Mytilus edulis: one gene and its partners. The main gene of each other region encodes a partner of the protein of the gene in region 3 in a complex. Links are inferred from orthologs where the notes say so. Each region holds a gene or a part of one and is shown on either strand. Other genes may lie near its edges.

Evidence for each region.
Region 1: nuclear pore complex protein Nup205-like (region 3) and nuclear pore complex protein Nup85-like share a complex: the UniProt entries of both Drosophila melanogaster proteins name them as parts of the nuclear pore complex. The link is inferred for Mytilus edulis from reciprocal best matches to the Drosophila melanogaster genes Nup205 and Nup75.
Region 2: nuclear pore complex protein Nup205-like (region 3) and nuclear pore complex protein Nup160-like share a complex: the UniProt entries of both Drosophila melanogaster proteins name them as parts of the nuclear pore complex. The link is inferred for Mytilus edulis from reciprocal best matches to the Drosophila melanogaster genes Nup205 and Nup160.

What each region holds. Positions count from the first base shown.
Region 1 is NC_092352.1:40,182,510-40,192,856, reverse strand, and holds the start of nuclear pore complex protein Nup85-like, read left to right. Parts: upstream 1-6,139; 5' UTR 6,140-6,197; coding exon 6,198-6,227; intron 6,228-6,287; exon of another isoform or gene 6,288-6,302; coding exon of another isoform or gene 6,303-6,317; intron 6,318-7,923; coding exon 7,924-8,023; intron 8,024-8,392; coding exon 8,393-8,494; intron 8,495-9,242; coding exon 9,243-9,306; intron 9,307-10,347. Other genes in the region: ketimine reductase mu-crystallin-like, read right to left, coding at 1,417-1,479, 1,912-2,056, 5,793-5,947. UniProt on the Drosophila melanogaster protein: Component of the nuclear pore complex (NPC) that seems to be required for NPC assembly and maintenance. Required for nuclear import of phosphorylated Mad via importin msk.
Region 2 is NC_092350.1:78,082,834-78,093,922, reverse strand, and holds the start of nuclear pore complex protein Nup160-like, read left to right. Parts: upstream 1-6,881; 5' UTR 6,882-6,984; coding exon 6,985-7,075; intron 7,076-11,089. UniProt on the Drosophila melanogaster protein: Functions as a component of the nuclear pore complex (NPC). Involved in poly(A)+ RNA transport. Required for nuclear import of Mad. May play a role in double strand break DNA repair. Essential for nephrocyte development.
Region 3 is NC_092353.1:65,264,518-65,274,501, reverse strand, and holds the start of nuclear pore complex protein Nup205-like, read right to left. Parts: upstream 3,952-9,984; 5' UTR 3,828-3,951; coding exon 3,797-3,827; intron 215-3,796; coding exon 72-214; intron 1-71. UniProt on the Drosophila melanogaster protein: Plays a role in the nuclear pore complex (NPC) assembly and maintenance, but with limited role in NPC permeability. Required for specific nuclear import pathways such as Mad import.

The DNA.
Region 1 (10,347 bases), on a different chromosome or scaffold from region 3:
TTACTAGTAATTGTCTATCATATAATGATAGTATGGATTCAAAGCTATGTACTGATGATATATTTGATGTAGGACTTGTCAGTTAAAAATAGACATGTAAAATTCTCGTTTGTTGTAAGTTAAAAGAGCATAACCTCACAGATTTCTTTTTGTAAACAAGATATACGCCAGGCTATTCGATGAAATTTAAAATACGACCGACAAGAGTTAATAAAGACAAACAAGCAATTTTTATCCAAATGTTTGGTTGATATGTTTCACCAAACAAAAATAAAGGAAGTGAGGGGTTCCTAACCAACCAAAGGCTACGAATGAGTCTTATGACAACGAATTTATGAGTGACGGTCGACAAAAGAAGACATAAAGGCCACACCCAGCAGACAGGTTGCAGTCTTGGCTTGAAAAAAGTATTCAATATATCAGTTCGGCGAAACAGACATTCCAGTCAGACATGCAAACCTCGGCCCCAAAAAAAATATGCCCGGTTTTTATTCATTATCTTCATTTAATGCAAAATAATTCTGATGGAAATTTCGTTTTTAATACCAAAAAAGTGGACAAGATTATTGTTTTCAATCCAGATACGGCCAGAATTTTTGTTCAAGGCAAAAATCAGAGTCAGATTTTTTTCTCTCAAATATCTCAGACTGCCTCCTCAAATCAAATGGTTCATACTTCAGACTAGGGTGAAACATGTTTTCGTAGGTAAACAATATTGCTGTGGAACTTTTTTTCTTGAGAGGGTAATAGAGTATTACTTTCTGTTTGGTGTAATAGTGAAATAGAAGTCAATACGTTCTTTCTCAATCTTGTGTCACTTTGAAGGTTTCATGATTGTCATCCTCAGCTTAAGCAATTTGTAACTGTAATTTGATTTCAAAATGACAGAGTGACAGTTTTTTAACGCACTGGTCAACTCCATAGCGAATCACATTTTACTTTGACATAATCAGTTAATACCAGCAAAAAATATTTTATACGTAAAGAATTGTCGCATAAAAATTAAATACCGTCGAGGGCTACCGCGGTAGGTACGTGACCGGCCAGTACACAGGAAAAAAAAGTCCAAGCAAAGGGGGGGGGGGGGGCGTATGCCCTCTACACCCCCCTCTGGATCCGCCACTGCTATATCTAAGAAATATACTTAAATAAGAGCCCAATGAACCATGAAAATGAGGTCAAAGTCAGATACCAGACAGACATGCACACCTTGCGCAACTTTCTATACCCCAAAATAAGTCTACCAAATTCTTATTAAATATACAAGAAACAGAGATTTTGCTGTATCAAATGTATCATAATATTTTTCAGAATACATTTTTGTTACTCATACATTTATCTTATACTTAGAATACTAAAAGTTATTATTTAAAATAAAAAATAATTTTTACACAGAACAATTATATGTTAGTTTACCTTGGTAGCGACTGCAGATACAGCTGCTGTTCTCATAGCAGTAATAACTTCACCATCAACTATCTGTATTTAAACAACATTGAGGATCAGACATATGGTACCACAATGATGTTTTTTTGGAAAATGTTTACAACTAAACTTAATTTTGCACTATGAATTAACCATGGTGCATCATCTCCTAACTTACTTATAATGTATTTTAATGACACTATGGTACTTTACTCAACTGACCTCAATACAATAATGACATCTCTTCTTTTGTGTAATGCCTTTTTTAGTTGAGGTAAAATCTGTGATTTACAAATTGAATAGGAGAATTATCATTTTCATAAATTAATCAAAACCAGCACGAGAATGTACCATTTCCTTTGCTCCCCAGTAAAAGCTGAATTGATAAAAGATTTCTTGCATATTTTTTTACCAGCTTCTGATAGTAGTACATTACTATCATTAAAAAAGTTACATAAATGAATTTATTTTGTTTTTAATACCTACAACTTCAGGTACTCCATTTGACGCATTAAACATGGCAATAACTGCATTGTGAGTGGGGACATCCTTGTTGTTTGGATAAAATGATACCAGTTTAGTAGCAAGAACATTGTCTTCAGAGCATAAAGATGGCATCAAACCAAAAAATCTGTGAAAAAAAAAATTTAAGTTATAAACATTTGATATATAAGAAACAAGAGTATGTTGTAGAGCATAATGAATAGGACACAATGTCATGCTCATAAATGATATTGTATCATTTCCATGTTCAGTGAACCATGAAATATGGGTCAAAATCCTAATCTGGCATATATTTTGTAAAGTCCACATCATAATGAAATGTATACATATACACATTCATGGATCTACAATCTGTCGATAACTGTATCTCGGCATTGCACAAGGTCATGTTTTTCTCTGACTGTTTATGACATCTTTACACTAAATCCATTGGATGTTGGATGTGACAGATTGGTAATTTAGTCTAAGATGCATGATTTTTTTATTAGTTGTTAGTGGCTTTGAACTAGCTGTCAGATAAATGCAAGTACTCTCAGATCTGTTCCTAGTATCTTTATGTTGTTGGGATATACATGTACCCGTCCACGTCCACTTGTATTTGTATTTTTGTCCATCTGATGAGTTAAGCCTTTTTTAACTGATTTTTATAGTTCGTTCTTATGTTGCACTGTTATACCACTGTTCCAGGTTAGGGGGAGGGTTGGGATCCCGCTAACATGTTTAACCCCGCCACATTATGCCTGTCTCAAGTCACGAGCCTGTAATTCAGTGGTTGTCGTTTGTTTATGTGTAACATATTTGTTTTTCGTTCATTTTTTTTATATAAATAAGGCCGTTAGTTTTCTCGTTTGAATTGTTTTACATTCTCATTTCAGGGCCTTTTATAGCTGACTATGCAGTATGGACTTTGCTCATTGTTGAAGGCTGTACAGTGACCTATAGTTTTTAATTTCTGTGTCATTTTGGTCTCTTGTGGACAGTTGTCTCATTGGCAATCATACCACATCTTCTTTTTTATATGGTATACTAAGTTTCAAATTTATCTGACTACATCTTCATGGTACTTAAAATCAAAACTATAACCTTGTATGGGATTATAATAATTCTTGCAATACAGCATCATTTTTTTCCAACCACTTGCTCAACATGGGAATGGAAGTGATGATGCCCTTAAACCCATAAATGATGTTCACTAAAACCCAAGTTTTTGACAAAAATGCATCAAACTCCAAAGTTGTCCATTATCAGATATGGTGGTACCATAGATTTTTTGAAAAATTAATTAAATGCATACCTGTAAGACTCTTGACCTTTTACCTAAAGATCAGTGGGTTCTTTTTATTCACCTGAAAAGGCAAAAATCTGATTTTGGTTTATAAGATTTTGTCCTGAAACCAAATTTCCCCAAAATGCATTCTTTTTTCATTAGACCTTACCCATGAGTCTCAACAATGAAATTAACCACCATCAAAATATCTGGACAATTTCACTTTGAAAGGCAACACATGGAAAAGACCCTAATTTTTTTTTTGTCAGTATCAAAAAGCCCCTTTTCTTTTTTGTCAGTATCTAAAAGACCCTTCTGGGGTTTTTTTTTTGTCAGTACAACATGTACATGTATCTCAATGAGATACTGACAAAAAAAACCAAAAGGGTCTTTTCTTTCCAAGGGAAATTGTCCAGATAATCTGATGATGGTTAATTATACTGTTGAGTATAATTCTATCAATTGCTGCTGTTTCCTTGAACTTTGACATAATGACTTAAAAATCAAAATGCAGTGGTTCATCTCATCATTTCAAATTTGGTAAAAGTTGGACACACAGTTCTGATATTGTCAATTTTGAAAACAAATTTTTATCAAAATATCAGTGTACCAATAGCAGTTGAAGCAGTTGTGCAGTCAGGGGTTCTACTTGTACAAGTAATTTTTCAAAATTTTGCTTTGAACTAGCTGTCAGTTAACTGTGAGTACTCTCAGATATGTACCTACTGTCTATGTTGTTTGGATGTACAAGTACCTGGCCACGTCCACTTGTATTTAGTAAAAAATCTGAATTTCAAATGACATAACTAAGCCAAAAAGTTATTTACCTATACAAGTAAATAAAATACACTTGTATAAGTATCCTACAAATTTACTTATAAACAAATAAATTAATATCACTGTGTCAAGTAAATAAAAATTACTTTTACCCCTGACTGAAGGGGAAGGACCTTTACCAGGACTCCGTGATCTGGTGTTTTTAAGATCAGGATTTCGGGATTGATACTTTCGGGATTCAAGAATTCTTTTTTCGAATTTTGGGATGTCAGGATTTAAATTTCTTTAAACTTGGGACCTCAGGATTTCATGTTTTTAAATTTGGGATTAAGGGATCAGGACCCCTCCGACCCCCCCTCCTGACTATTGTGACTTTGATTCTAAAGTCAAACGGAATCTTTTTCATCCCATTAGGAAACCAAATCTTTGAACATTTGAACTCAATTTTTTTCTTGGTAGGAAGAAACTTGGTTTTTTTATTTTTTTTATATCTATAAATGTATTATATAGGATGGTGACTGCATTTAAGGTTCATCATAACCTTTTGGCTAAAATGGCCGTATTTACACCCCAAATTTTACTCTGAGTACAGACTAACCTATACACCTGCAACAGTTTTAAGGGATGGCAGATATATAGATATATAAATTTTAAATGCATTTTATGTTTCAGAAAATTATAAACTTTTCTAGATTTTGCTATCCATTTTTTTTCGTTCCTGCAGAAGGTGCAAAAATTAACTAAGTAGTGAAAACGATTGAGAAGCTCCCCTCATATAATCAATGTTGTGAGTAGTATTGATTTAAATGGACAATAGATGGACAATAGACACCTGTAAACAATAGGTTATTTAACAGGTTTAATTGTGTAACTGAGTGGACCGTATCAAAAGAAACTCAGGTGTTTGTTTATTTTGCTATCTTCTGCAGACTGGAAAAAAATGAACATCAAAATCCAGGTAAATTTTTAATTTTCTGAAACGTAGACTTCATATAACTTTTATATATCTAGTTCCTGCCATGCCTTAAAACTTTCCTGGATGTACCAGTTTGTCTGTACTCATAGTAATTTTGGAGGTGTAAACACAGCCATATTTTTCAATTCCTTATGATGAACCTTAAATGATTTACCTCATCTGACCACTATATACTATACAAGCCCCTATGATTGATTGATTGTTGGTTGCTTAACGTCCAGTGGCAAATATTTCATGCATATTCAGGACGAGAACAAGTTCACAATAAATACAATAGGTAGGTTGTTGTAAGAGAGGCCATCTAGGATGATGGTCGGGGAAATTTGGACTGCCACTGGAAAATTAGGGTATATTGGATAGGGACAGAAATTTTGCTTTGCAACAGGCCACCTACGGACCCCTCAAAGAGTTGTTGCAAGGGTTCTTAACGTGCAAAGAGCGTGGCACTCTCTTTACAGGAGGCATCGGATATAACGTCCCCTTCTGACGGACGTGACTGCGAACTTGATACATCCCGCACAGCCAAACGGAGGCTCCACTTCAGCAACCGTTTTACTGCCGGTCGGGAGAAGACCAAGTGACCATATTTCTATACCCCAGTCACCCTTGGGGTTACAAGCCCCTATGAAGTGAGTGCATGTGTGTATGTTTTTTATGGATTGTAATTCATTTTTTCTTTGGGAATGGTTAATTTTCTGGTAGTAAGTCATGTGACAGCCAGGCTTAAAAATTCTATTGATATGTGCTAATACAGTGTGACAAATGTTCTTCTTTCCATCATAACTCATGATGGTGCTCCTCAGGGAGGAGGGTTGTAAATAAGTATATAGTGTGCATACATACCCACCAGATTCCTTGACAGGAATAACAGATCTTACAGGTTGAACAACTTTTTTGTCTGAAAATTTGGCAAGAGCTTTTTCCATTTGTGGAATAAGCAATTCAAATGTAAGAACATTTTTCACTTGGGAAGCAGATATAAATTTCATAAGTTCCATTCTGAATTTTGACCTCAAGTTCTAGTATGGGTACTTGACTCCGATCTCAATAGTTTGGTGTTTTGTAAAATAACTAAAAACTGGTTGTTTTTTTTTTAGATATGTACAACAAAAAACCAGTTTCTAAATCATAATTTTATTAAATATTGCATACAAAAGTTTTTTTTTTAATGTAAAGTTAAAAGGAAACATAGCATCAGATCCAGAATATTTATTTTAGAATGCCCCTTATTAAAGGGAAATAACCAAAATGGCCGAGCGGGAAAAAGTCTATTGCCAGGTTTTCATTTTAATAATTTAATCACTTCAATTCAATTGTTACATCAAACAGAATTTTCAACAAGTTTCGGCTTCAATGTTTCTTTCAAATGTTGTTATTTGTTCATTTAATCACGTCTTTTTCTGAACCTTTTACCACTTTTCATAAAAAGATTTTGACCCTCTCAAGAAATCTTAAAACAAATATTTTTCTATTTACGTACTCTTTGGATCAGCTTCCATCTTGCTGAAATATATAGAATATGAAGTTTATACAAACAACTGATACATATGAATAAATCTTTTTTCCTAAACAGTCGAATAAAAACACAGTTTGCGTCATAAAAACATTATAATTTACATGTTTGCAAAGTCAGTTATTTTTTTTCCTAGTATGGGAAAGACTGGTGTCATAATTGGTAATATTTGGGAGTTGAAAGATCATGTATTTTTGTCAGGGATCTCCATAGATGAAAATTAAACGATGGAGGAACTACTGTGTCTATGTTGTACAGTGAAGGGCGATCGAAACTATTTAATCCCTCCACCTAAGGATTGGTGAACAGGCTAATTCATTGCTTATTTAATTATATTTATTTGAATTTTCATTATAAATAGAAGTATAAATACTTTTAATAATTGCCGTTTTTAACCATTCAAAAGCCAAGCCTTCATGGTCTGTAACTGGATTATTAATTGATTTATTTAATCTAAATTATCATAAGCATTTGCGGAAACTTAGTTGAATAATTCGACAAATGAATCGTCTATCTTCAGATAGTATTCTCCTGTCTGGTTTGTTGATCTACCTGTACAAGTGATTAGCGATCTTATCCGGATATCCCTCAGGCGTCAGAACTGTATTGAATTATAATATAAGCCTGAGGTTTATGCAATTACATGCATTTGATTATAATTGCTAAAAACAATGCTGTCGGGCTATAAAAACGATAACAGTTTTGAACGATAGCAAAAGACAATTTAACGATGGCGCAGGTCATTTGACGATGGCGCGAGACATTTGAACGATGGCGGGGCGCCATCGTTAAACAGGCCATGGAGATCCCTGTTGTCCTGAAAGGCAATTTTATTTTTTTGTATGTTGCCTTGCCACCTCGAATAATTCTGTAATGTATGCTCCTGTTCCAAGTCAGGAATCTGTATTCAGTGAGAGTGGTGACTGGACAGTCTGCGCCAAAAACTTTTACATCTTCTAGTCCTGAATCTAAATATCAAAACTTGTCCTTTTATGACGATATAAAATATTGAAAATTTTCACTAGTCCGATACAGGAAGTGTATTCACTATTGACATTTGTTTTGAATTTTAGGATTAATTTATTATTATTGAACAAAAAGTCATTTGAACACAGTGTGCTGTGAAACACAAGGACACAAGACTTTCTTATTACATTTGGATTAGATAAACACATACATGTAGTACAACATGTACAATGTAAAAAAGAAAAACAGAAGAAATCAATCTTGAAATCAATTATTATATAGTTGTTCCATAGGAAGCAAATGTATGAGAGACATGAAAAACATATAATTAGATTTTTTTACTACAAAATGAATTCCCTATTATCCTTATTTCACATTGGCCTTTTACATCTTTGCTAAACATTATTGATTTTGTTCTGTGTTGAAGACCTTGGCTTGTATAATATATATGCATTAATTTTGTTGTTAATGATTATACTTTTTGTTCATTTTCAGACAATATATGACCCAGCATGTACTGCAGGGCTACAGTCTACATGGGGATTTGGGAACCAGCTTTTTGTATTTCCTGGAAGAAAACCCACCTTGTATCCAGGTATTTGTTACATGTACTTGTATTATAGATTAAATATCACATTAATTAATCTTCATATGTTTTCTTTGCTTTAACCTTTTTCTTTGATTTTTTTCTCTTAGACAGTTTTTTTTCTGGTCAACAGATCGATAGGAGTTTTTCATGAGACCATATATGGACATAATAATTTGTATGAAATTTGTTCACAATGTGTATCTTAACCTTTTATAAATTGTGACTTGGATGGAATGTTGTCTCATTTTAACACTCTTACCACATCTTCCTATAATATCTATTATGTATTTTTGTCATAATGTGTAAATGTATTCTTGTCATTATGTGTATTGTATATTCTTGTCACTGAAATGTTTGTATTATTTTCTGTTGTAGAAAATCAGTTACACTGTAGAAGATTACAAGAGATCAGGGAAGTGAGATGGGATATAGATTTATATCATCCAGTCATGAGAAAGCTTGTAAATGAATCTCATAGTAAGTAGATCTATCTTAATCAAGAGAAAGTTTTGAATCTCATATAGTGAGTTGTTGGAATACAAATCAACACAAATCATGAAACAGTTTTTCATTGACTAACATAGTGAGTTATTGGATCTTATATTCTTAATGGCATCCATTTAAAAAAACTGTCAATCCCTGAACAAAATTGTCTGTTTAATATGCATAAGTCTAGAAAAAAAGATATAAAAGCATAAATTATTCATTTTGTATTGAACAGATATAATGAAGAAAAAAAAATTGAAACTTTTGACGGCTGCCTACTAAGTCAAATCTAAGTCATGATTACAAGCTTAAGCATATACCTGAAAACGAAAAATAATGATTATGCATAGTTTTTCCATTGACAAGATTTAAGTTATTTCCCTTTTAAGCCATACTAGTGGGGCAATGTGTAAAAATTCTTGTAAATCAACCAAATTCAATTTGTAATACAGACTGTTGTGTCCAGAATCAATTTCATTTATTTATTTATTGTACCCTGCTAAATTCATAACCACAATCTAGTATTAAAGTATCTTTCTGTAAGTCTGAATAAACAGTGAATAAGTTATTTACCAATAATTTTTTTTAAAGATGTCCAAAGCTCCAATTTCATACTACATTGGAACACATTTTGATACAAAAAGTATGTAAAACGAGAAATTTCTGACAAAATTAAAAAAAAACCAACATATTTGATAGCTGACTGTATACACTTAAATGTGTTATTTTTCTATTTTAGATATTTTTGTCATGCTACAGAAACATGCAGCAGAAAAGGCTGTTGGAGGAAGTATACATCCATTGTAAGTGTCTGAACATTTAAGGAGGTTTCGAGGGTACAAACAAATTCAGCAAAAATTGAAACATTTTTTTCATTACAAATTTATTTATTACACTATTAGTTGTTACTTTATGCAAGGATTTGTATAGTAAGAAGGATTGGAATCTCGCGGTTTATCGTAATCTCTTCCGCGGCGAGACTTCGGTACTCGCCACTATTACTACTACTACTACTCGTCACTTACGATATCAGAACGTGATTTTTTGTACACATGCATCGAGTTGTGTTCTTATTTTTGTCATGTATAGACAATGTTGTAATGGTTAAGGACTTTATTCATTCTTAAACGTAATAATTATTGATTTTCACTCAAGTTTCAATTGACGAAAAAGCATAATTTAACTGTTTTATTTGATGGACATTGTAATGCAATGTGAATAACGGCAGTTGACAATGTGTTTGTATGTTAACTTCTGTATTTTTTTTTATCTTCAGTCAATTGTCAAAGAAATTTAAAAAAATCTTATTCTTGTAAATTATGTCATTATAGTTATATGCGAATTTGCATCTTCGGAAACTCTTTCAAAAACTTTCAATCTCGGGAAACAGGTGCAAAACATTTTTTTGTGGCAAAAAAGAACTGACAACACATTTCAGAACGAATTACTGCATTGCGTTTTATATACATAGTGGCTAGTCATTATCATAAGTTTGGAACACGTACTGTTACAGAGGGAGCCCACTGGACTAAACCCTATAAAACTGACTCTGCATGTTACTGTAGCAGGTTTCAATCATCATAAACATATATAGGCATAAAAGAAACGTTAGCCAGTGTGTTATAAATTATCAATGCAAGCAAAAAAATTTAATTGTACTGATAACATGACATCTTTAAATGTACTTTTGTTTCTTATCAGAGCACTTTCATCAATTTGTGCATGAATTTGATAGGGCAATTTTATAGTGTCAGCTCTCTGTCATACATGTCATACATGTATAACGGCCTCTCAAGTAGTCAGTCATGGAATTATTCCTGGTTATGTATTATTCACGTATAATA
Region 2 (11,089 bases), on a different chromosome or scaffold from region 3:
CTTAGCATGATTGTTCCTTAGATTATCCTGCACAAAGTGTGTGCTTCGATTTTTGATCCGTCAAAAAACATGGCCGCCGTTACTTAAAATAGAACATAGGGGTCAAATGCAGTTTTTGGCTTATATCTCAAAAACGAAAGCATTTAGAGCAAATCTGACAGGGGTAAAAATGTTCATTAGGTCAAGATCTATCAGCCCTGAAATTTTCAGATGAATCAAACAAACCATTGTTGGGTTGCTGCCACTTAATTGGTAATTTTAAGGAAATTTTGCAGTTTTTGGTCATTATCTTGAATATTATTATAGATACAGATAAACTGTTATAGCAAAAATGTTAAGCAAAGTAAGATCTACAAATAAGTCAATTTGACCAAAATTGTCAATTGACCTCTTAAGGAGTTATTGCCCTTTAAAGACTTTTTTCACAATTTGTTCATCATGTTGACTTACTTTAAAAATTCTTCTCCTTTGAAACTGCTGTATCAATTTCAGCCAAACTTAGGCTAAATGAGTTTTAGAGTTTCAGAGTATCTAGTATAAATTTTATATTTCATTTCCTTGTATGTCAAGAAACATAGCTCCAATGGCTAAAATAGAACATAGGAGAAAATGAATTTTTTTTTGCTTTTGAAGAAAATAGGACGATTCAAAGAACATTTAAATAAATTGAAAAGCCAAAATAATCATTGATGAGAGATTAAACCAAAAAAATTCAGGTGAGCGATTCAGGCTCTTGAGAGCCTCTTGTTTGTATACAGATTTATAGTTCGTGATATAAAGTATTCGTCCCATGCTCAGATTAACGAAAAGTTGTTTCTATGCGAAGAAACAAGTGTTTGAATTACCCGATGTGCAGCCATTAATATTTTGATCAGTAATGTCACAGAGATTTCAGGTATTTGTCCACCAAACAGCAGCGAAACAACAGTGAAAAATACAATTACCCAACAGACAAACTTACTAGTGTAAAGTTAGCCGTCGATAATAGCCGGTGCTAATATATTCATGGGGTTCAGCAACTTTTGTATAGCTGGTAGCTATAGATAGTTAAAGAAAAATTAGGATCCTATGAATTTTGTGTTCGTAAAAAGGCGAAGACTTATAGAGTTTGTTAAGGATCTGACGAAATAATTTACTAAACTTTCTACAAAATTTATTTTATGATATTGTACCCTCTTTTGTGATTAAAAAGTAATTTAAATCGAGGAAAAGAATGTGTTTATTTCTTTGTCTTAAACAACAAGAAATATTTATCAATCGGGGCCAATTATAGCCGATTATACGGTATGGGTATTTCTCATTGTTGAAAGCATTACAGATGCCTATCACTACTTACATCCACTTCATTTGAGCTTAAATGGACAATCATACCATAAGAGAATCAAATTTGAACTATTCTACATATTACAAAGGAGGAAACATAAAGGCTCGGGATACCTGACGAGGATAAGCCTAGGTCTACATGACCATAACCGAAACACCCCTTTTTTTAGTATACACACAACAATACTACTATACAATCATGCAATTGTGAATTTCTAGAAAAATATGGAAATAAATGCAGAAGAATGTATTCCATAAGCGGAAATATTTATCATACACTGAGTTTACCAGATCTTAGTTACTCTAAATGTATGCACATAGGAAATTGATTTAAAAACGAAGGATTATGATAAGATATACTGGATTGGTCTTGGACCCGATTGATTTTAACTGAGTTTACCAGCTCTTAATTACTCTAAATGTATGCACATAGGAAATTGATTTAAAAACGAAGGATTATGATAAGATATACTGGATTGGTCCTGGACCCGATTGATTTTAACAGTATCCCATAAGAGAAATCAAATTTAAACTATTCTACATATTACAAAGGAGGAAACAAATAGGCTAGGGATACCTAATGAGGATAAGCCTAGGTCAACATGACCATAACCGAAACACCTTTTTTTTAATACAGACACAAAAATTATTATACTACAAACATGCAATTGTGAATTTCTAGAAAAATACGGAAATAAATGCTGAAGGTGTCACACCTGTGAAATTTTTAATATAAGTCGCATAATGCTCAGATAGGCTGTTTTTAACTACAAATTGACTAAGGATTAAGAATAAAGCAAAATAAAAGATTTCTAATCAACTTTTTTGTCTCTTTAGGTGTCACACCACCAATTACTCCCTCAAATTTAGTAGGCCTACTCGAACAAAAAATAGTGCATTTGATGTCATTGTTTACTTAAACTACCCAACAAATTTGCAGAAAGGAAACTTTTGGTGAAAGAGAAATATATCTAGACCATTTTGAGCCAAAATTTACTTGTCTATGAGTTTGCATTAAAAATTGAGGATTAATGCGCTCCATAGTATACTAATTTAAGATTTCAAGAAAACCAGGGGTTATTTTTAGTGGTACATCAGTTCGAAAGGTCTCTTCTTTCTTATATGGCTTTAAAGGTATGTTGAAAATTGGCATGACAAAAGGTGATGCCTGGTTTGTAAGAGGTTAAACTTAAGATAAAAAATTTAGAAAGCTATGAAAATTGCAAAATTTGGTTGAACAGATACTTAGGGACTTTTAATTGGTGGTCTGACACCTTTAAGCAAAATGCGGTGAAACATCAAAATCAGAAAACAATTGGTTTTTTTGTGTGTCTTAACTGATCAATTGAGATAATAGTAGCCACATTTCAATCTTTTTGGGAGCAAAATGTCACATATTGCAAATTTAGAGCCTAAAACTTGAGTTTGTGCTATTTTTAGCTTTTCCCACCACAATATGCTTTTATATAAAAAATGCCCTAAATAATGTTATAAATGCACAGAAAGTTATTTTGTGGTGTTAAACATTGAAACATAGGTTGTTTACTACCCCCAAACAAATTTTGTCATGCAGATTTAATGAAATTATTTGATTTTTACCCCTTATATCATTGCGTCATAATATGTACTTGGCAGATAGCATAGCCTAATGTAAACGCTGCAGAAACTCACAAAAGTACCATTTATTATTCCAAATGAAATTTTTATATCTTAAATTTTATCAACTGATGTAAATAAACACAGTTAAATGACCATGGCTGCACTTTTGATCAATTTGTAGCCCATGCAAATAAATTAGACATAAATAAAATACAGGATATAAACTATAAACAAGAAAAGAGTTCATTCTCAAAAAATATTAAAAAAGAACTAAAAGATAGCTTTGAAAATATTTTCTTTGAAAAATTAAAATTAACTAATGAAACCAGTAAAATATTCGTGTAGTCGTAAAATAAAAAGAAAATATGAAATAGACAAATACAAATACATTTCTAAAAATAGTTTTGAAAATAGAAAATTATTATGTAAAATGCGAGTAAGTGACCATTTCTTGGAAATAGAGAGGGGTAGATATAAAAGAATTCAAAGAGAAAATAGAATATGTAAACATTGTAATATAAATGCGGTTGAAGATGAAACCCACTTTTTCTTAAAATGTATACACGAAGATGCTCAAGTGATAACACCATACTATGCTGAATGAGTATGTGTAAATGCTAACAATGTAAGCATCAATAAAGATATATTCTTGGACTTCTTTATCATGTTCTGTATAACCATTTAGATTCTACCACCTTTATCTACACTCCGTCCGTATTGTGGTATTTGGCTGCATATTCCAATTTTTGTTTGTCATGCAATTTAAATGCGAGTAAGTGACCATTTCTTGGAAATAGAGAGGGGTAGATATAAAAGAATTCAAAGAGAAAATAGAATATGTAAACATTGTAATATAAATTAATAAATTAATAAATCTTTACGTAATCAGCTTGAAAAAGATATAAATAATATATGTCCAGAATTCTTTTAATTGTCTGGAACAGATAGATTACAATTAATTCTATCTTCATTTGATATTATGCAACTTACTGTTCCGTTCATTAAAAAGTCATTTGCACTGAGGGGAGTGGACACGACGCCTGCATAAATATTACTGTTTTACCACTTTATATATGATGTTTAATATGTTCATTTTTCCATTGTGTATATTGTATTGTATTGTTTGTATGTATGCCTTCAATCCCCAGGGGTATAAATGTGCATTTCATGAATAAATAAAATAAAAAAAATACAAAATACAAATATTTTTATTGGCACAAACTCATTAACAATAAATGGTTAAGACCTATGGCATTACATATATATGTCGTGTACAAGTTGCGATTTTGTACAGGTTATAACATGTACAAAAATATTGTACATGTTATAACTTGTATAATGCAAAAATACAAGTTATAACATGTACAAAAGTACCTCGTACATGTTATAACCTGTACAAAATATTGCTTAAAAATGGTTTTAACTTGTACAAAATCGAAAAATAAGGATATATTCTATTATCGCAACAGATGTTATTAACCTCAATAATATTTTCATAACGTTTTTATTATTCCTTCATGTTAGTGTGTTTTGTCCTTTTTTGATACAGTTAATGTCCAGTGGTCGGTATTACGAAGCATTCCTAAGACTTGTCATAAGATATATCTTAGGACATGTCTTATGATCCTCTTATGACTATCTATGGACATATCTTAGGACATGTCTTATGATCCTCTTATGACTATCTATGGACATATCTTAGGACATGTTATAACCTGTACAAAATCGCAACTTGTACACGACATATATACAACTATACTGAATAATTGACATGGTAGAATGAAAGGTTCCATGATAACATATCATGCTAAATTATGAAAAGTTACAAAATGATGTATCATATAAGTTCACTATTTCTTATATTTAGACACTCTGATATGAAAGAGGAAGACAGTCTAAGTAATAATGCTGAGCTATTATTGACCAAAAGAGATATTTTTTCATCAGCGGTAATGTTACGCTGTATTTGAAATATAACATTTATTTTATTTTCAAATATTTCTCGCTTTGAGGTATATCTATTACATTATCATAAGAAATGTTGTTCATCCTCAATTTCCCCATTTTTACAGACAGGACAGTGTCTTTCCTCTCTAGGAACATTTAAAAGATGTCTTCCCCTTTCAATCATTAAAGGATGTGCACTTATGCGTATTTTGCATATTGCTGCTCTATCATTTAAATTGTTTAGTGAATCAACATATGATGGTCTTTGACCCATTTTGTAGACTTGACGAAAGAAACTGAGCTTAGAAGACTCCTGTGTGTTTGCATTTTGATTTTGCAAGCACTGATCATAAATTCTCTGTTTTACTTGTCCCAAGTGCTGCTTTGTTAGACAACTTTTTTTCAACAAGATATGAATATCCTAATTTTTGTAAAATGCACTGAGTTTTTAGGATCCAGGGGTTTGAAAATCTTGTTGCACAGAAAATTTGATTTACAAGTGTATTTTCTGATGAAAGTATATGCTCTAGAAAATTTATGCTTGAAAAAACAATTTTATTTTTGAGTGGAATTCTACCAAGCTCAGCACGACAAGCATCATTTGAAGCCTTGCAATGAACACCAAGTGCTTCTTTAATAAATTTAATGTGTAATTTTTCAAAGGGATCAGAGCCATTAATGATGAGTTAACACCCCAAATTTCAGAACAGTACATCAGTATAGGTGAATACCGTGATATTAATGTATCGAACAATTTTTCAAGTAGTCTACATGGATTATTCAGACCCACAGTTTTCTTAATTTTGAAATAGGCCTTTCTTGCCTTTTCCATAAGAGTATTATTTATGGCTAAATTGAAATTACCATTACATTTTATTACAATACCTCAGGGAGCTACCATTTGATTTTTATGGGGGGGGGGGGGGGGGGCTAGGATCTGAGACTACTATAACAGTTAGTCTCAGCTAGGATGAAATTTGAAAAAAATAGGCAGGACAGGAGTTTTAAGTAAAAAAAAAAGGCAGGATGAGACAATTGCAAAAAAAAAAGTCAGGACAACAATTTAGGTAAAAAAAAGGTCAGGATAAACTAAAAAAAAAAAGGCAGGACCGAACTGAGTGAAAAATAAAAAGGCAGGACAGAGATTACAGCTAAAAAAAATGCAGGACAAAATTTTTCATCCTAGCCCCCCCCCCCCCCCTAAAAATCAAATGGTAGCTCCCTAAATAAGAATAATGACTTTAACAGTTTCAATACAAGAATCATTGTAAGTAAATTCGTCCAAAAATGTTTTACCATTTGAATTAAATACAATGACTTATCTGTAGTTTCTGTAGTTTCTGTAGTTTCCAACAATCACAATAATCATATAAAGCATTAAGACTATTTTGTAGTCCTTTTTTACTTTGAGACAATAAAACAATATCATCTGCATATAAAAGAAGAATATTTAAAGAAACATAAAGGGGGCCCGGGGGGGGGGGGGGGGTGCTGCTGACTAACCTAAGGGGGTCCCGCTCCAGTCATGCTTCAGTGAATCGTCCTATATAATCAGACCCCCGCCTATGGGTGTTAGTCCATTAACAATTTCATAGGTTAGAATTTATGTGTTGTTTATTTGACTTATCAATCAAAATAAAGTTTTCTTAATATCTGATCTTAAAGCTGAGAAATTGAAAATGTTATGTTGAATATTATATAGCTAGTGATTTTGAATCGGTGATCTGACACCTACATAGTAAGTAAGTAAGTAAGTATTTTATATTGGTTTGAAATCCAAAATTATGCCTAAGCCTAACTTCTAATGGCCTAACTCGCGGGAAATTGAGAAAGCGAAATTGAACTCATAAAGACATTCCCGTCCAGCAAACGCAAAGGTCAACGACTGTAGCCAACGTACACACCACGGGGAATACATTTATATTTTTTATTTTTTATATTTTCAAACTAAGTATATATAGACATATAGACTTATCGAAAACCCTATTCTTTACGAAGTGCTCCTGTGAAGGAGGGATTTCCTAATACAGATACAGAATCGCCCTATTGGGGCGAAATGAATCTTAGTGCGAACGACAATCGGGGCGAAGTCACCTGAATACGGATGATAAAAGAATGGCGGAAAGCATGAGTGGATGTACATACCGGGAAATTTCAATTTCATCTAGTGTGGGAACAAGATGGAAAGAAATAAACGTCAACACAGGTATGTAGTTGACGTATTGCAAACGGGATTGTCTTTTACACTAGTTGCCATTTCATGCATTTAGAACGGCTTCTTTTTATATCACCTGGCATAGATCTAACATTTATTTTCGCTTTACTTCTTCTACCGGTTACACTGGGGTAAAGCTGATGACCGTCCTTCTTCTTCTTTATATACAGAAAAACATCAACTGGTTGATGATTACTTTCCGGCGCATGCCTGGTTTAACAATATTGTTAATGATTAAAATATATATTTTTGGTTTCTTATAATTTTTCAATTTTTATGATACAAATGTATATGTAACTGTAAGTAATATTTTTCAATTTTTATTTTTAATTTTTGGTATAAGATAAAAACAAGATACATATTATACATGTAGGTGTTTGTAAGTGTCAAGGAGCATCTCTCTAGTGAGTTTCTCCTTGAAGCACTCAGTAGTGGTGCTGCAGGCTATTGGTTCTGGTAATTTGTTCCAGTCTTTTATAGTTTGGCAGAAAAATGAAAATTTGTAACTGTCTTTGCTGCATCGAATTTGTCGGTATGTTTGTTCGTGGCTAGACCTGGTGTTTGATTGGCTTTTAATTAATATGTCAGTATATGTGGTATGGCAATTTTGTTGTTTGTTATTCTATGGAACATATTTAATCTGCTTTTGAGTCTCCTTTCTTGTAATGTTGGCCAGTGGAGTGTGTTAATCATGTTTGTTACACTTTCAGTATATTTGTAGTTTGAGCATACATATCTCGCTGCACGTCTTTGAACTTTTTCTATGGAGTTAATGTTCTCTGTTGTGTAGGGGTCCCAGACAGTGCAGCAGTATTCAAGTTTTGGTCTAATAAGGGCTTGTATGCTCGGTCTTTGATGGTTACTGAGTTTATTTTAAGTTTCTTCTGGTGAATCCAAGGGTCTTATTTGCTTTAGATGTCATGTTCTGAATGTGTTTGTTCCATTTTAAATTTGATGAAATAGTTATACCTAAATATTTTGCATTTTCAACTGACTCAAGAATGTGACCGTGCATGTTGTAATAAAAATGGATAGGTGTTTTCTTTGTGGTCACTCTAAGTATGTTGCATTTATCAGGATGGAACTGCATTAGCCAGTCTTGTTCCCATTTGATTGCTCCTTCTAGGTCTTCCTGGAGTTTAGGCAATCTGATGGTGATTTTATCTGTCGGTAAATGATGCTATCGTCAGCAAAGAGCCTGATTTGACTATGATGTAAGTAGTCAGGTAAGTCATTGATATATATCAAAAATAGTATTGGACCTAATACAGTGCCCTGAGGAACACCTGATGTAACTGGTATGTTATCAGAGGAATGGTTTTCTAGCATAATTGTTTGTGTACGGTTTGAAAGGAAAGATTTTATCCAGTTTGCGGCTTGATCTGATACACCGAAAAATTTAAGTTTATATAGTAAACGGTTGTGTGGAACTTTGTCAAAGGCTTTTGCGAAATCCATGATGATAAGATCGGTTTGTATATTTTTGTCGTTATTTGAACATAGTTGGTGAATTAGTGATATTATTTGGGATTCGCATGATCTATTTGCCCTGAAGCCGTGTTGCAAGTCATAAAGTATGTTGTTGGATTCAAGGTGTTTCATAATGTTGCTTGCAATTATGTTGCTCTAGTAATTTGCATGAAATACATGTAAGTGAAATTGGACGATAGTTACCAGGATGATGTTTGTCTCCTTTTTTGAAACAGGTGTTACATTTGCGTGGTTCCAATCGTGAGGTACTTTTCCTGTTTGCATTGATTTTGTAAAAATTAGAGTGAGTATGTCTGTGCATGTGTTGATGTTTTCTTTAAGCACTTTTCAGTGATGTTATCAGGTCCTGTTGCCTTTTTTGGGTTTATATTTTTAATTAATTTATAGATGCCTTCTCTGTTGATGTCTATGTCGTCCATTATTGGATGTGTTGATGGACCTTTGTCAGGGATAACTGTATTGGTCTCAGATGTAAAAGCTGATTTAAATTGTTCATTTAATATGTTAGCTTTTTTCAAGGGATCTGTATGAAGTAGACCTTCACTCCTAAGAGGTGCAATACCAGTGTTTTCATTGTTTTGGCCTTTTATGTATGAAAAGAGTTTTTTAGGTTTGTTTGTTAAATCTCGAATTTTCAGGCTCTTGTATTTCAATGTCAAAAATCATGTTTTCGATATAATTCCAATAGGCATTTCTCATCTCTTTCTGTAATTGTGTTTTAATTTGTTTAAATTTTTTAGTATGTTTGCTATCATGTTTTTTCTTTTTATAAAATTTGTTTTTCTTATTTATCAGTTTTTTCAATTTTGAGTCTATCCATGGTAGGTGGGTTTTATTTCCTATTAGCTTAGTTGGTATATGCTTTTGGATACTTTCTGTTGTTTTTGTTTTAAAGAAATTCCACATATTGTCTATATCAAGTTCTAATTTGTGTTTTTCCATATGTGTGTATGTTTCTTTTAAGTCTTTTCCAATTTTTTCCCAGTCTGCTTTCTTGTAAATCAATACTTTGTGTGGTGACTGTTTGGCTTTCGAAAGGGAAAGATTTATTTCACTGAAGATAATGTCATGGTCACCTAGTGGTGGTAATGTTTCTACTCTGTTTAGTAGGGATGGATTTGACATGCACAGTAGATCAAGTGTGCGTTCATTTCTTGTTGGTTTGTCAACTACCTGTGTGAGATTGTGATCTTGTAATATATCTAAAAGGTGTTGATGAAGAGAAGGATCTGGTTTGCTAGGTATTACTGATGAATTTGACCAGTCAATATTGCCTAAATTGAAATCGCCACTGAGCATGATATTTGCACTGGATATGTTGCATATCCTATTTAGTGAGGTACCTAGATGTTCTAGTGATTCCCCTTTGTCTGATGGTGGTCTATAATATGCTCCAAGATAGGTGGTTTTATTTCCCGTTGGAGTTATTTTTGCCCATATTAATTCGCAATCTGTGTCTAATTCAGGCACATGTGATGTAATAAGTGTGTTTGTGATTGCGAGTAGCACACCTCCATAGCCATCTTTCCTGTTTTTGGTGTAGATGGTGTATTTGGATGGAGAAATGTATTCATATGCTGATGTGTCATTTGAAAGCCAGGTTTCAGTACCAAATATAACATCAGGTTTGCATGAGTCTATCATCTCATCAATTTCTGGCTTTTTGTTTTTCATTGATTGAAAATTAATAGTGAGTACACGGAGAGGTGGAACTGCATTCACGGTCATCCCAAGATGTCGGATGAAAAATTAGGTCAGTTTCTGTATTGTCTGTTAAAGTGTTTCTATATCCTTTTCTTTACAAATCATACATTGAAACGATGTAAATTAATAAAAGAATCACTTGAAAATCACTAATTACTTCCCAGAAATGTGCATGAAACGGGAAATTCGATTTGAAAAAATCGTTAAGATGACCGTAAATCATAATCAAAATATTTTCAAGATGACCGTAACATAAAACAAGGATGACCGTGATTGGTAAAAAGATGACCGTAACTTGTAAAGGATGACCGTTATTTGTAAAGACTGACTGTAATTTATATAGGACGACCGTAACTTTTATAGGATGACCATCAATTCTAAGAAATATCCGTATTGTATTCAAAGCTTTTTTGTTGAGTTTGTCGATCTCAATAGGGGCTCGGTTAGCGGATATAAATATGTTTCATAAATTTCTTTTTTTAAACTGTAATATAATTGGCCATATTTAGGATTTATAACAATGATTAAGTAAATTGCATATTTCTCGTAAACAATGAAATATTTATTGATATCGACGTTAAAATTTTAACACAAATTTACAGCGATACGACGAAAATTTGAAGAAACATGAATGTGTCCCTAGTACACGGATGCCTCATCTACACTATCATTTTCTATGTTTAGTGGACTATGAAAATGAGATAAAACTGTAATTTGGCATTAGAATTAAAAAGATCATTCCATAGGGAAAATGTGTACTAAGTTTCAATTTTATTTAACTTGAAGCTGGACAAACGGACAAACAAACAG
Region 3 (9,984 bases):
TTGTGACTTGGATGGAGAGTTGTCTCTTTGGAACTCAAACCACATCTTCTTAATAATATACATGTACATACTGGATTTTTAAGGAGAGAAATAAAATCAGGTTTATGTCTCTTCAATGCAACTTCAAGGTCGTGCACTGCATCCACCTGCTTCCTTCGAACTGCTGCATCAACTGTTCTCTCCAGTTCTTTATATGGTCCCCATAGCTGGGCCTCTGCAAGAATATATTGCTTTTAAATTTATAATCAATAAGATAAAGAGAACTGTTTATCAAAGGAAAGGAGCCTATATAAATGTGAAATGTGTTTTTCTAAATTATATTTATATTTTATCAAGTCCATAAAAAAAATGTTTTCACTGGCTTTACAGTATCATTTTTTCTAACTTGTCCATTCCAACACAAGTGTCCATTCAGACAAGTGGCAAGAAACATCTTATTAGTCCCATCCAACCTCAATGACTTAACTCACTTGCCCTAATCAAAAGTCACAAATCTTGCATATTGACATTGTTTACAGTGGCATTTTGGGCTTTTATAATACCAAAGGATTCTGACATTTTTTCACCTACATGTAATTTCGGTCATTTTGAAGTTGGTGCCCTTTTTCAAAAAAAAATTTGTCAAAATCACATTACTGAGTATTTTTATACTCATCAAGCTCATAGCATCAACAAACTAGTTTTAACTGCATTTACTTCATGAATTTTCGTCGTTCAAGAGCAGGAAGGCAACAATTTGAAAATGAAATGATTTGAAAGACTCAACATGATAAATTTCTCAGACATTGCTAACGTTTTTTCTGCTTTTGAACTGGAAGTTTTGCAACAATAATAAAGCAAGTAATTCTTGACTCATTTCTGGGATTAGTTTTGTTTATTAAATGTACAGGAAATCATCAGCTTTTTAATTGTTTACCTTTGATAGTATGAATATTAATGATAATAGTTGCACTTTGTTTTATTTAGCATGAAATCATTTTGAATTTATGATTTAAGTGTCCAATCTGAAATTTCATGCATGTGCATAAAGTAGTAAACAAAGCATGTGTATTAGTAGAGAATTCTACATAGATTAAATCTAGTTTTAATCTTATTTTAAATCAGAATTGACAATTGTCTTACATGTAGCTGAAAAGTAATTAAATAACAAAGACAGTTGTTATGGAATTTTAATTCTTTATTATAATAGGTCTCAGCTTGTGATCAATATTCAGACATAGTCACCTAGATTCAACTAACCACTGTACCTCCATGACCTCGCAACTGGTATATTGTGACTTTAGAGAAAAGAAGATATTTTATAGTTTAGATTTCTGTTTCCTATTTTACTAGAATAATTGTCTCACATAGCATTTTTTTAAAGGCAAATTCAGTATAAATTTATTCTTTAAATGTGCATTTACATTTTATTTTAACTTTATCATGTTTTCTTTAACACAGACAGTATAGTTTTATTCCTTTAGTAAAAAGGAAGAGCTTTCAATTTACGTTCCTTTTACTTTGGATTCAGATGCCAAAAGAGGCTGATACATGTAATCATCACAACAATCATGGTTAAGACAATACAACAGTTCCAGAAAGTACGGATTCAACATACAGATATACAACATTTGCAATATTTGTTTTAAATTTAGATTGAACTAATAAATTATAAGTTGCCCTTCTCTTCACTGCATTCACAAAACCGGAAAATCACTGATAATTTCTGTGTATATTTCACACTTTAACCCTGATGCAATGACATTTTACTATAATAAAACTTAATGTGGATGTGTTTAGCCTACACAGGCCAATTTGGCAACTCGTCAATGCTTGGAGGGTTTCTCAGACACTGCCTTAAGAATGAAATTATGCACTTATACATGTACATGTAATTACACCTTATCACTATCCCCGGCTGACCTGAGAATCTGTCCCACTTGTACTATAGACGTCATACAACAATCACTTTTCCATTGTGGCGTCAGATATTTTGTATTATGATGTCAAAATGTTACAGGAATCTGTTTTATGTCAGTAATGGCAGACAAATAGCGATTAGGTGTACAGTAATACAAGGTGAAGACTAGATTATTTATACTAAATAGTTCTTGTTATGCAGGGGTTAAAAAATTTTGTTACAGCTAACTAGCCCAGAACTTATAGGCAGCCGTATTTTACTAGCCCTGTTGGAAGAACTGCTTGTTCATCAAAACTGACTGGCTAGTCCGAGTATGCCTTAAAAATTAGATTTTGCTTCATAATACAACACAGTGGGTGTCACTGTTTTGAAGGCGATATTATACACTGTATTTAATATTCTTTGTTGATCTGCTATTTATTCTGTTGGTGCTTAAGGCCACAATTAAAAATATTTTGGTTTGCCCAAACCCTACCCAAGGTTGAGACAGTGGGTAGGTAGGTAGGCATTTTCTTTTTTTTTTTTTTTTTTTAAAGAAATTTACGTATCGGATATTTATTAGTCTTCATGCCTATCTGATTAAAAAAAAACTTCTTCAAATCAGGACAATAAAAGAATTTGAGTAGGCAGCTTTTTTCTGGGTAGGTAGGGTTTGGGCAAACAAATCTATTCTTTTTTATGGCCTAACCTAACTTAGTTGTTCCCACATACAAAGCAGGCTTTTTATTGGCGTGCTTGGGGAAATAACGACAATTTTCACAGAGCATCGTCTCTGGGGTTTTTTCATCAGCAACAGCCGACCTTGCCCAGGGGAATCAATCTGTATTTTTTTCCCCCTGCTTTTCTCGGTCGTATTTGGCATATTTGGGGGATGAATTTTCAGCCTCGAATTACCCTCTTCATCTACAGTTTTTCGTTTTGAAATTGACGAAGTTCCTTGGGTGCCTGTACTAAAATATTTAGATATATTTTGTTGCATGGTTTCAAGCTCAACAGCCGTCCGTGCCAAAATGATCAATTCTCCATACCCCCAATACGGTTAATTGAAAAATCTCACCATTAGCATTAAGCAATCAAATAAATATACAATACCACAGGCAGGGTATGAGAAATCAATATTTATACATGATACCGGACCACCCAGAGTTATTTGTTCTATTTAAAAGAAATATGTACAAAACCACGAGTGTACAAACCAGTTCAAATTCTTGGAATTCGGATGACGTACATTTGTAATTGAATCTGATTGGCTAAGATAGAATAGTGATGAAAGGATTTTCAACTTTCTTCCTTTTTATTTTGGAAACGTCAAAAAATTTGTGATACTAGTCCGTCGGGCATATTGGGTTACACATTTTGATTGCCTGATGCGTAAATGCTCTAGTCCCGGGTGTCGGGCTAGCGGATTTTTTAACCCCTGATTATGTACTTGTGATTTCTTTCATATAGGACAAATGAGAAATTGTTTGAATGTTATAATACGAAATTTCATAAATAATTTTTCACATTTTAGCTTTTGTTATTTTTATAGGAAACATGTCAGACAAAATCATATAATTTCGATTTGTTAACATAAAATATATGTTCTGGAAACTTTGTTGTAAATAATGCCATATCCATAAACTTTATTCCGTATTAAAGGAACAATTTTATACTGTAATATTTGTTCCAGTGGATTATTATAAATTATCCATAATATTTCTTCTTTCTGGGACTGAATGAGGAGGAACTTAAAATATATTGCATGACACTTTGACAGGTGTTGTGTAAATCTATGGATGGTGCCAGTGGGAATCCAACCCTCAAACACGGGATCTAAAAGCAGCGCTCTAGCCAATAACAATATGAGCCAAAGAAGATCTTAACCTTTTCCCGTAATTAAATAGTAAAATTCACCTGAATTTACCGCCATGCCCCCAGATGCCATAGTGGCTGTAAACTGGTATCCTGATAAAATCCCGATGCTTCACTTCAAACAGACGGTAGTGAGTATTTTGTATAAGGAACCCAGATGAATTCACGTTCTATCGGCACTTTACAATATCGACCTATACAACTCGACCCTTTGATAGAAATGGTTCTTAATCGTGTATTTTATTTTAAAAAAGCAGAGACATTTTTATATATGTATATGTCTCTAAAAACATGCATTATCATATTATGATTATTGTGAGAAAGAAAATAGGCCAAAGAAAATAATAATTATTGCGATAAAGTAAATGGGCCAAAGAAAATAATGATGAAAGATTGTTTACCGTCTTTACCGTATCTCTCGTTTGCGATGGCTGTATATACATCCTTTATGTCAAGGATTTGTATAGTTTACTATCCTTGTCCTTATAAAAATTATTCATAAAAATCAAGTTATACAAAAACTTTTGCATAACTTAAATCCGAACAAATCAGCAGAACCAGATAACATTCCATCATCCGCTTTGCTGAGAAGTCAGCCTATAACTGGTATTGTTCCAGTCTGGCAGATGACTGGACAACTGCCCATGTCTCTCATGTAAATAAAATAAAATCAAATATTGGTGTAAATTCCTAGACAGAAATAATACCAGCCGACATTTACAAATACAAAAATAAACAAACAAACAAAAAAACATACATATTTTCTCAATGATCATGATAAGAGATACATATTTTATATTTACATTGCGTGGAGGTGTTATTCATACAATATTATTAATTCAAGCTATTACAATCAGCTTTAATACTATAAAAGCTCTTAACAACATTATGTTTGCTTTAAATGAATGTTCAAATCATACATATCGCTTATTCCAGCTACACTTACAGTACTAATGTCCGTATCATTACTTTTCAAAATGAAACTAAACTTATCTTGTTCACACATTTTACAGTGACTTGACTGTTAGTGTTGCTATCTACCAATTGCAACTCATTAAAAATTTTGACCAAATTGCAATTTGTTTTATAAAATCAAATTGTTCAACTGGTCAGAGTATTGAACAAATTGTTCAGTCAAAATGTGAAAGTGCAAGGTGATAAAATAAAATATACTTACAATCCTATAAGACTTTAACTCCACTTTATTGATGGTATTACTAAATCAGTCTATCAATCTGTATATATATATTATAGCCATTACCATACTAAAGGTGAACTGTTTTATTTTTAATTGCTATAAAAATGTCCAAACTAAGCTTTTATATAGTTTTTCTTTCGAAAAGTATTCTATATTCATAAGAATCACACATTATGTGAATAAAAACATTTCATATTCAGTAAAATATTTGTGAAATTGCAATATGTTTGTAGGAAGGGGAGATAATCTTTTTTGGTTTCAAAAAATCTTTATTCAAAAGAATAGTATTTTAGGTTATCTCGACAAGGAAACTTATCAATAGCATATTGTTATTTCACACATATTTTACTGAATATATGATGAATTATTTTAAATGATATATGATTCATAAAAATATAAAATCCTTTTTATTTTTAATTGCTATAAAAATGTCCAAACTAAGCTTTTATATAGTTTTTCTTTTGAAAAGGATTTATATCTTAGTAATCTTTTAGAAAAATCTTCTCCTCTGAAACTACTGGGCCAAATTTAACCAAACTTAGCCATAATCATCATTGGGGTATCTAGTTTAAAAAATGTGTCCGGTAACTCGGCCAACAAACCAAGATGGCCGCCATGGCTAAAAATAGAACATGGGTGTAAAATGCAGTTTTTGGCTTATAACTCAAAAACCAAAGCATTAAGAGCAAATCTGACAGGAAGTAAAATTGTTGAACAGGTCACGATCTATCTGCCCTGGAATTTTCAGATGAATCGGATAATCGGTTGTAAGGTTGCTGCCCCTGAATTGGTAATTTTGAGGAAATTTTGCTGTTTTTTTGTTATTATCTTGAATATTATTATAGATAGAGATAAACTGTAAACAGCAATAATGTACAGCAAAGTAAGAACTAAAAATAAGTCAGTATGACCAAAATAGTCAATTGACCCCCTAAGGAGTTATTGCCCTTCATAGTCAATTTTTAACAATTTTCTTAAAATTTGAAGATTTTCAATAACATTTTCCACAGAAAGTACTATTATAGATAGAGATAATTGTAAGCAGCAAGAATGTTTAGTAAAGTAAGATCTACAAACACATCACCATCACCAAAACACAATTTTGTCATGAATCCATCTGTGTCCATTGTTTAATATTCACATAGACCAAGGTGAGCGACACAGGCTCTTTAGAGCCTCTAGTTTTAAGTTAAGTGGTTGCTACTTTATGAAAGCCATTTTTATAATTTGCAGTAGTTTGAATATACTAGAGATGTCTCAATTACGCATTAGAAAACGTTAGCTACAGCAGCGTGCTTACAGCCGAAAAAAAGGATTGAGATATTAGGGATAACTACATTTTTATACGACCGCAAAATTTGAAAAATTTTTCGTCGTATATTGCTATCACGTTGGCGTCGTCGTCGTCGTCGTCGGCGGCGTCCGAATACTTTTAGTTTTCGCACTCTAACTTTAGTAAAAGTTAATAGAAATCTATGAAATTTTAACACAAGGTTTATGACCACAAAAGGAAGGTTGGTATTGATTTTGGGAGTTTTGGTCCCAACATTTTAGGAATTAGGGGCCAAAAAGGGCCCAAATAAGCATTTTCTTGGTTTTCGCACTATAACTTTAGTTTATGTTAATAGAAATCTATGAAATTTTGACACAAGGTTTATGACCACAAAAGAAAGGTTGGGATTGATTTTGGGAGTTTTGGTTTCAACAGTTTAGGAATTAAGGGCCAAAAAAGGGCCCAAATAAGCATTATTCTTGGTTTTCGCACAATAACTTTAGTTTAAGTAAAAAGAAATGAATGAAATTTAAACACAATGTTTATGACCACAAAAGGAAGGTTGGTATTGATTTTGGGAGTTAAGGTCCCAACAGTTTAGGAATTAGGGGCCAAAAAGGGACCCAAATAAGCATTTTTCTTGGTTTTCGCACCATAACGTTAGTATAAGTAAATATGAAATTTAAACACAAGGTTTATGACCATAAAAGGAAGGTTGGTATTGATTTTGGGAGTTTTGGTCCCAACAGTTTAGGAATAAGGGGCCCAAAGGGTCCAAAATTAAACTTTGTTTGATTTCATCAAAATTGAATAATCGGGGTTCTTTGATATGCCGAATCTAACTGTGTATGTAGATTCTTAACTTTTGGTCCCGTTTTCTTATTGGTCTACATTAAGGTCCAAAGGGTTCAAAATTAAACTTAGTTTGATTTTGACAAAAAATGAATTGGTTGGGTTCTTTGATATGCTGAATCTAAAAATGTACTTAGATTCTTGATTATTGGCCCAGTTTTCAAGTTGGTCCAAATCAGGGTCCAAAATTAAACTTTGTTTGATTTCATCAAAAATTGAATAAATGGGGTTCTTTGATATGCCAAATCTAACTGTGTATGTAGATTCTTCATTTTTGGTCCTGTTTTCAAATTGGTCTACATTAAAGTCCAAAGGGTCCAAAATTAAACTTAGTTTGATTTTAACAAAAATTGAAATCTTGGGGTTCTTTGATATGCTGAATCCAAACATGTACTTAGATTTTTGATTATGGGCCCATTTTTCAAGTTGGTCCAAATCAGGATCTAAAATTATTATATTAAGTATTGTGCAATAGCAAGTCTTTTCAATTGCAAAGTATTGCACAATGGCAAGAAATATCTAATTGCACAATATTGTGAAATAGCAATATTTTTTTTTAATTAGAGTTATCTTTCTTTGTCCAGAATAGTAAGCAAGAAATATCTAATTGCAAAATATTGTGCAATAGCAAGATTTTTTTTTAATTGGAGTTATCTTTCTTTGTCCAGAATCAACTTAAATCTTTGTTATATACAATATACAATGCATGTTCACTTTTTACTACCAACTGATAAATTAAAATAATCTTTACCATTCAGTGATAACAAGCATTTTTTTTACATCTTAATATTTTATGATGTATTTAAATGAGTAGTTATTGTTGCAAACTCCATTAGAAATTTTAATTGAGATTAGTTTTGGAATAAGGGAAAGGGGGATGTGATTAAAAAAATTGGGTTCAATTTTTCTCATTTGAAATTTCATAAATAAAAAGAAAATTTCTTCAAACATTTTTTTGAGAGGATTAATATTCAACAGCATAGTGAATTGCTCTAAGAGAAAACAAAAATTTTAAGTTCATTAGAACACATTCATTCTGTGTCAGAAACCTATGCTGTGTCAACTATTTAATCACAATCCAAATTTAGAGCTGAATCCAGCTTGAATGTTGTGTCCATACTTGCCCCAACCGTTCAGGGTTCAACCTCTGCGGTCGTATAAAGCTACGCCCTGCGGAGCATCTGGTTATCTTTTCTGTTTGTTTCAAATGGTATTTCTTCTCCAATGAGTATTTGGTAAAGGAATAGGGTAACGTTTTTTTTAATTTATTTTAAGTGTTATTTAACGGATCTGAGATACTAGACAAACCTATCATTTACCTCACACTTTTTTTAGTCATGATTCTGGAAGACCTTTTCAAATGAATTAGGCAGCAACTATTTACTATATTTTTTGGGGAGGGGGAGGGGGAGCGCGGGGGGGAGGGGTGGGGGGGTAGGGGGCGTCGGCTATTGATTTTTTTCAGGACAAATTTTGGTGACAAGTCGAAATCAATTTTAGCATTATATATAGTGGCAGCTGAGGGTGAAACAAACAAATTTTTTTCAGGGCCAAAAACTGGAAACATATTTTGTTTCCAAAACAAAATCCATAGCTCACCACCTCCACCCCCTTGCCTTTATTTTTTATACTCAACTATAATAGCCCCCCCCCCCCCCCCCCCCGAAATTCAATTGGTTGCTGCCTTATGGGTTCGGCAATGATGCTGCTTTGAGTCTTGATCAGGGGTTAATAAAGTACGTTAAATTTTTTGAACAAAAAAAATCTGTAAAATTTAGACAACAATTGGTGTAGAGAACTATACTTATAATTATCAAAAATATCAATTTTACTCAAAAATAGATTCCTCCTTAAATATATACACGGTAAAACTAATGTCCTAAATGCCTAGTTTTGTGTACACTTAACCTACACAAGGACTACATTGACTATCGACTGCATGTAGATAAAACATGATTTAAACTGCATGTAAACATTGAGTTTTATCAATGGGAACGCAATTGTGTTTAGTTTACGTGTGAGTTACACTAACACAACACCGAATTTAGGTCAATGTGAACACGGCCTATATGTCTGTTACACAGGTTTGATTTGACCTTGACCTCATTTTCACGGTCCATTGCTAAGCGTTAAGTTTTTGTGTTTTGGTCTGTTTTTCTTAATTTGTAAGCAATAAGTCAACTATATTTGTTGTATTGAAGAATTGTTAGCTGTACATGTCTGCCTGGCATGGTTCATCTGACCTTGACCTCATTTTCATGGTTCATTGATCAATGTTTCTTTTCTTTGGTTAATGTTGTCAATGAGTTTATGTGACAGTTGTAATAAAGCTTTATATTTAGGTCTATCAACATAATATCAATGATTAGTAAAGAATGCAAGACATTTCAGCGTGTGCACTCTTGTTTTCTGGTCTTTGTAGTAAAACTTAAACCTTTAGGAATATCAACATTTAATCAATCATGAATGGTGAAGCAGGTGAGATATTTCAGCTTGTGCACTCTTGTTAACACAAAATATGTGGTGAAAGCTGTGACTGCCATACATGCAGATGTATCTAGGAATATGTTGTAACAACTTTATAAAAGTGGGATCTAGACTATCCTGATACTGGAACAAGTCCTGATAGTTGACACTGTTTGCTTGTATTAGCATTATACTTTTTTATTTCAATATTTTTTTTCACTGCTATCGCTGGTGATAAATTACAACTGTGTTCATGTCCCTCAAACGAAACTTTACACCATGAAATTAATATTTTCAATTTGTCTTTGGCAAACTCTATCAAAGTAAATTTCCTCTACAAAGGTTAGAAAGATGTAATGATTATAGAAAAATAGGAAGATCGTTCATAGTATCATTCTTTATGAGGCAACTCTCACTCCAGAGACCAATTTACCTAGAAGA